Linked DNA regions of Medicago truncatula. The protein of the gene in region 2 interacts with the protein of the main gene of each other region in a pairwise test. Links are inferred from orthologs where the notes say so. Each region holds a gene or a part of one and is shown on either strand. Other genes may lie near its edges.

Region 1 (3,759 bases), about 18 Mb from region 2:
ATCTCATCCTATACCATTCTGTTCTTCAATATTATAGTGCAAATCCTCGAAGAAAATTCTTTGCTCGCTACATAGGTACTAAGGAACTGAATGGAAGTGGATAGGAAAAGATTCTCTACACTTGTATGTAAATCATGACTATGACTATTTCAGGTTCTTGATTTCAGTATGGACAAACATAATCAACACTGTATTGAACTCGTATCAAGGGGACAAGCAATCAGGCACCATGATGGCTATGATATGTAGAATCTTCTCATTTAAATCTAAGTGGACAAACATATATCACTGCAAGGATTTACGAGGGAACCCCACATGATTTGATTGTATTAGGTTTTTATGTAATGTAACTTGCATATTTTCAATATTACAGTCAATAATGTATTGCCAGGATTTATGGGAGTCAATGCATAGTTGAATATATTAGATTCATAGGAAATAGTTCAACTCTTTATTGTTGTCTTGTAAAACTAAAATGTAATAATGTATCGATTCTTTTATGCATATAAATATCAAGGATGCTGGCACCAAGTGCCCTTACTAAGTAATTCACAGAACTTCAATCTATTTTTTATCAGTCTGTTCAAAAAGTTTCCTATGTGTTCTACTGTTAAAAAAAGACTTTACAATCTACATTAATAAGCACATATTCAAGGCATAATCAGAAACCGATCATACTCATTAGAATCGTATTATATGCCTCACTCAATCTAATATATAAAGCCTAGAAAATTATGTAAGATGGACGCAATCAAGAAATAAAATCTATAGTCACCACTAAGTCGGGTAAATACAGGGTTTATATAAGAATAAGAAAACTTTTCCATGTGGCAAAAGCACTGCTGTATCATCTACAAATGGAATTAGAAAACAAAAATACCATGCTATTTCATCATATATATAAAAAAATAAATTATATAGAAAAAACTAGTCATCTAGCATGTACATACCTCAGCCGCCTCCATCAAGCGACCTTCTTCTTTGTAAAGAATGCCACAATGTGTGAGAGCACAAGCATTCTGAGGATCCAACTTAACAGCTTCCGAAAAACTATCAAAAGCAAGCCTACCCATATTCTGCATCTGCAAGCATATCCCTTTTCCAATGAGAGCCTCTACATTTCCACCATCACTCTCCAAAACACGCTCATACAAAGCAAGAGAGTCCGTAAACTTGTTCCTCGAACGCAAAATGTTGGCGAAAGAAATATCGTCTTTCACTTCAGATCTTTTTTTCCCCGAAACAGTATCATCTCCACCAGCACTAACAGATGGTTCTTTCACTTTCAAAAAACCATTCTCTCCGCCTAACTCCTTTTCTTTTCCATTCCCATCATTTTCTTCCATCCAAGCCATCTTAATCACACTTTCCTACCCACAAACAAAAACATTTTTCACAAAGTTATAATCTTGCACTCTTATCAACACAATGCCAATGACCAAAAAGACTGGAAGATAGCCATTTTGGCTGATGAATGTGTGAGGCGTTGTCATTATAGTCTCTTGAGGGAGTTTGCGATTTCGATACATTCAGGAACTATAATGACAGCACCTCGCACATTCAAAGAGACCAAAATCGTCGAAAAAAATCCAATTTTCATAGTAACTCCAATACTAATTAATACTAAATACAAACAACCACAACAATACATATAAATAAAAGGGTCGCGCTAACAAGAACTCTAAGGACACTAATTAATAAAGCTAAAAGTATAAATTTTGCGCCCGAAACAATAAATTTTAAACTTTTATAAAGTTAAATCCGAAATTTTCAATACAAAAATTTTATATTTATTAACTTAAACAATGCCCTGAGAGCACTCATTGCACTTTTCAAAATAAAATACCAAAAAATGAATATGAAATTCATCCAAAAAAAAATAGAAAAACTAAAACCCTAGGAAGTACGGAAAAAAAAGTAAATAAATGAAATTGAAAACTAGGGTTTGGGAACTTACGAGAAGGTTCTAGAAAGTTGTTGTTGGTGTTGTTGAAGTGGAGGTGGAGAGAAGGTGAAGATGAAAGGAAGAGTGGAAGTTTTCCTCCGGTGAAGAGTGGTGGTGGTGGTGGCTGAGATGCTCTTCTTCCTCTCCGGTGACGGCGTTTGGAGGATGAGTCCACACACTACCTGAGACTGTTTCGTTGATTACAACATCGGAATTGGATGGACGCAAAGTGACAACGCAGGCTTTTTCTTAGCTTGCTTTACTTTACTTCGCCCCCTTTTATCATACCACCATTATTAATCAACTAAAGTGTAAATTTTAAGCTATGTTTTTTTTATCAAATTTTAGTTTTGTCAATTTTAAATTGTAATAAATTTTATTTATTTTTTGAGAGATAACAAATTATATTTATTTTTAATAATAAATATAATAAATAAATAAATAATTATATTTTTTAATAATATCAACAATATAATATTTTTATAGCTGACTTTTTTGTTAAACCTCTTGATTCTTGTGGACGAAAATCATGATTTGGATCGAATTATTCAAATTTGAGGTTGACTTAGAGTTTGATTTCAAAATAATATATCTATAACCAATATCTCAAGCCAATTGAAGACCACTTCAAATTGTTGTGAGCTCACTAATAAATCATATGTTTATCTTGTTGGACCTACGAAGATGGTTTGTCTGGTGATATCTGTTATATTGAGGGATTAAGCTTTACTCATCCACCGCAAGTCCTTCTTCACCGAAGGAGGGTGGTGTACCTGCACGTGCTTCGACGCCCAAGTTAGTAAAGGGTGAAAAAGAGATTGTGGCTATATTATAGGTAAGAAGTGTCAAACCTAACTCAAGGTTAAGCATGGGTATATATATAATGGGCAAGTAGGGTTTTGGTTGTCAAGCCTTCACTTGGATAGTTGTAGCATGAATTCCGAACAGGTAGGTTAGGATCTATTAGTTTGGACCATAATCTTGTGGGATATATGGTGTGTCCGTCGCATGGTGTCGCCTGCTTCGGATTGGACCTCAGGGCCAGTTCAAAATAGTTTCCCCTCAAATTATAGGCTGAGGGAATCAGATTGTAGCTTGATAAAGTCTCATGGGGGATTCGCTTTAAGAATGAGGGTCTTGTCGGTCTTTGTACCTTTGGATTTCATCATCTCACTGAGCTTTGAATGACCCTACGAGGTTTTTGGCGATACCACTTCCAAGGCTTCTTAGCCTACTGGTTCGGTGGCGCCTAGACCTTCGTGGGTTCATTTGAGTGACCCTTTATGGGAAGTTTCGATTATTCACCTGACGGCCTTAAGAGTTCGTCGTTGATGATGTTGTTTTTCCTTCTGGATGAATGACTTCCTTGGTTAATATGCCACCTTCATATCTTATATCATGACTGTTTACATAGGATTTGGTCTTTCCTCCTCATGGAGTTCGAGACAGAAACCAAGGTCTTTAGTTTAGGTTAATCATAAAGGCTTCTGATTCATGGCCTTTTCACCTTCGTGCCAACTTGGTCTTGGACTCTCAGGAGATGTGTGTGCTTCCCTTCTCCAGTATTTCATCATCGATGAGGCTCGCTTGAACGATAATAGCAGCCTGCTTGTCCCGACCCAAAGGGTAAAAGTTGCTTCATTCTGCCACTTTTCAACGGTTTCTAACCTCTTGTGTGATAAGTTTTCGTTTGCTGGGTTTCCCCATGATAGGTTTCAAGTAACATGGTCAAGTCCATTTGAGACACCTTTTATTTTTTGGATTTGGTGTCGTTGGATTGATCTATATCGACTTCTCGTTCTTCTAGTCGTTGA
Region 2 (3,759 bases):
ACTAGTCTTATCATAGACTAGTGTACCATCGATAATACACGAAATAATAGGAAGTACAACTGCATGCCCATGCTCTGGATGATGAAGGACAAATGTTGCTGGATGTACAAGTAAATACATAGAGAAGTTAGCACACATAAAGTAGAAAGAGTGATATTCTTGTCGACTCAAGCATGATTTAAACTAACATGGGATTAAGCATAAATACCCAAAACGTCATCAAAGAGAATAATTTCCTTCGACGGGTAACGGTTGCGGATCAACTGTCAAAGTAATACAGAACAGTGAGTGACATTCAATAAAAACTCTTGGATCTCTCATGTCAAAAACAACACCACAAAAAATAAGAATCACAATTTTAATAAGTAAATAGAAGTGTACCTCAGCAATATCGTCAGCAAACTGTTCTGATGTAAACTGAATCAAGTACTCAACATATGCAGCAATTTGATCCTGGGAAAAGCAGAAAACAACATCATATAAACCAATGAAATGGAGTTACAGTGAGCTTCCAATATTCTAGAAGCCATAAAATGCTTTCATATGGAATAAGAAACAATTATTTTCAGCATAACAAATGATCAAAACACTGCTGCTTTCTACCTAGCAAGATACATTTAGAAAAGATTGTCAATACGCGGGAAACTTGTGTGAAACCACATTGACAAAACACTGCGGCTCAGTCAGAATTAGCTCTAACTAGTGGAAGCATCAGCTGAGATAAGTAATTGACTCTTAACTTATAAAAAAAGTCCTTATAAGTTTATGACTGCTTATGGAGAAGTTATATGCAGCGTGTTTTGAAAAGGTTAAGGTGCAAAAGTTAATTTCAACTTATGCAAGAAACTATTATTTAGAAAATTCATAATTGATTGTAAGATTACTTCAACTTTTCTTTTCTTGTAAATGTTTGCTAAAACTGTAATCAAATTGGCCCCACAAAGTCAATGCTTATATCACCCCATTTCTGGGACACTTTGTTTTACTTCAAAGTTTGCAATTGCCATAACTAGAAAGTTACAAAACAAATTATTCCTGCTGTCGATAGATCTCAGTTGTTCAATGAAGATCAGACAGTTCATATCCTGTGTTGTATTTTAAATCCAATTTGATAAAATCAAAATATGTATTTGTCTGATCTTCATCCAACGCCAAGACCTGCTGATTGTAGCATATGCATAGATTCTGAAATATCACATCACATCATCATGTATTATTTACATATGTTTGTGTGACGTTGTATGTATATGTCTCTTTAACAACATCTCCATATCTGCTACTCCTCTTGAAGAATACCGATATAAAATTTTCAATTCCCTAGTACTCTAAAAGATTTTTTTGGAATAAACTCTAAAAGATTTTTATCAAACATTGGATCATTAAACAAAATAGAGTGAGTTTAAAAACGATACACTAACTATAAAAATGTTTTAGTGTTTACACATACATCCAATCGTATCTCATCATTAGATATTTGTGAAGATATTTTATGAAGTAATATAACAAAGCGATATTTTGTGAAAATATGATTAGATGCATATTTAAAACTTTTTCTAATCTTCAAACTCAACAAAATAATAATAATTAGGATCCTTCCATCCCATCATGTCCTTAAGGCAAACTTTATATTAAAACTCATAAAAATTTAATAAAAAAATACATATACATGAAAAAAGTAAAGAAAATAACTTTCCTAAAACATGGTAAGAGATTAAAATGATACCTTTTTTTGCTGAACATCTTGTGGGGGAGGCCAGAATAATGAAGAAAATTGAAGACGGTCAATCCACCTTTCACTTGTAGCAGCCATAGAAGAAGAAGTCATCAAAAACTTTCAACTCTTGAATCCTTTAGCTTCTGATTATATATGAAAAGCAATTTTATCCCAAATCCATCCAAAACATGATACCAATCAAGTATTAAATCCTGTGTTACCAAACTCATCTTAGTATCCAATTCATCATCATCCACCAAAAAATAATAATTCAAATTTTTTTCATTTGACAGAATAAGACAAACAAATGCATCTCATAGAAAATTGTAGCTATTTCACTACAATAACTACTAGGTTGCTATGTTGAGATTGAATCTGCAAACTTTAAAACAAAATTGTTATTGATTTCTAAATTTATTTTCACTGTGAAAAATGTTAATTTAAAAAATTGAAATGATGAAGATAGGGATGAATCTGAAACAGAGTCCTGGTAAACAGAGCAAAATGAAATTTACAGAATATAAAAAAGTAAATATGTAAGCTAAATATTTAAAGGCTTATAAATAAAAAAAGAATTAAGAAAATAAATATATATCTAACAAGTCAGATTCATAATAGAAATTTTTTGAAGAAATTAAAGTAAAAAATTTGATGAAACTGAAATAAGAAATTAGCACATAACCTGAAAACTGATGGTTTAATTGTGTTAAAAAAAATAGAAAGAAAAATATGTACCTGGGTTAGCTTAGCTGAGCTGTGTGTAGAGCTAATTGGAAATTTTCTGAATTGATAGGATGAGAAGATGTAAGTGTGAGAATGGAGAGTATTGTGTAATGATCAAAAGGAGGAAAGAAATGATAGAAAGAGGGTTGTGGTAAGTTTATAGTTTGGAAATGAAGATGTTAGATAGATAGATAGAATAGAAGAAGAATACAACAAGTGGAGAGAGAAGATCTTTAACAGCCTTGTAATGAGAAGCCTAGATCGACTGCATACGTGGATGCGATATTTTCCTCTCCTCTCAGACATCCACGCCATCTCATGTGCTATATCTATGTATGTATCATTCATGCATGCATGCATGCCCTGTCCCAACCATATTAAGTAACATCACTATATTTTACTATCAGACTTTCATATTTATATTACTTCTTATTGAATTTATATCTACTACATAGAATTGAAATTCAGATAAATATTTAACGTTTGCAAATTTACATAAACGATATTATCATTTGCCACGTGTGCTTAGTTCAATTGATATGCAAGGTTCGGGGTTTAAATCCCGGCCACCACCAAAAAAACAATATTATCATTTTTTTACAATTTAATATATTATCATTTTTTGAAGGAAAAAAAAATATATTATCATATCAGCAAATAAATTTACTTTATTATAATTATGGTATGATATGATTATACATTTAAATAATATATATTTATTTTTTTGCACAAATTTAAATAATATTTATATTACATGGTGTTTTTACATTTTAAAAAATATTAAAAATTGATAGGAAAAAAATAAATATATATATATATATATATATATATATATATATATATATATATATATATATATATATATATTTGTTATGTTACCTTCCTTTAAAAGAATGTTATGTTACCTTCCTTATACTCTATGTGTATTGGGGATGATTGATGTTTAAAGTCGTTATTTTAATTTTTTTACTTAAATGTATCTTTTTTAAAATTTCTCTCCTCCATCTCATTTTGGAATCAATTTTGCTGATGTGCCTTATTCATTAATGATGAGGCACCAGTTGTCTGGTCGCATTGAATTTCCATATCATTAATAATTTTATTTATTCATTAACTTTTATTTTAAAAATATTTTTATTATTCAAATATAATATTAAATTAAAATAACAATAAAATAAATTATGCCCTAATTCATGTTACTTCTCCCAATTTAAAAATGAAACTGTTGTCGATCGTTGCGTTCTTTCTTTCTTATTCGTCTTCAATCATTCTTCATGAATTTTTATTTGTTTAGGGATCAAGATCATTGAACCGTTGAACTC

What was found. The genes of interacting proteins can lie anywhere in the genome.
Region 1: the proteins of protein GIGANTEA (region 2) and probable UDP-N-acetylglucosamine--peptide N-acetylglucosaminyltransferase SPINDLY interact in binary tests that used the Arabidopsis thaliana proteins (3 or more experiments, as listed by UniProt). The link is inferred for Medicago truncatula from reciprocal best matches to the Arabidopsis thaliana genes GI and SPY.

What each region holds. Positions count from the first base shown.
Region 1 is NC_053042.1:29,880,059-29,883,817, forward strand, and holds the start of probable UDP-N-acetylglucosamine--peptide N-acetylglucosaminyltransferase SPINDLY, read right to left. Parts: upstream 2,272-3,759; 5' UTR 1,968-2,271; exon of another isoform or gene 1,958-1,967; intron 1,371-1,957; exon of another isoform or gene 1,366-1,370; 5' UTR 1,356-1,365; coding exon 951-1,355; intron 1-950. UniProt on the Arabidopsis thaliana protein: Probable O-linked N-acetylglucosamine transferase (OGT) involved in various processes such as gibberellin (GA) signaling pathway and circadian clock.
Region 2 is NC_053042.1:47,811,158-47,814,916, reverse strand, and holds the start of protein GIGANTEA, read right to left. Parts: upstream 2,649-3,759; 5' UTR 2,450-2,648; intron 1,927-2,449; 5' UTR 1,826-1,926; coding exon 1,724-1,825; intron 456-1,723; coding exon of another isoform or gene 454-455; coding exon 382-453; intron 264-381; coding exon 209-263; exon of another isoform or gene 189-208; intron 99-188; coding exon 1-98. UniProt on the Arabidopsis thaliana protein: Involved in regulation of circadian rhythm and photoperiodic flowering. May play a role in maintenance of circadian amplitude and period length. Is involved in phytochrome B signaling. Stabilizes ADO3 and the circadian photoreceptor ADO1/ZTL.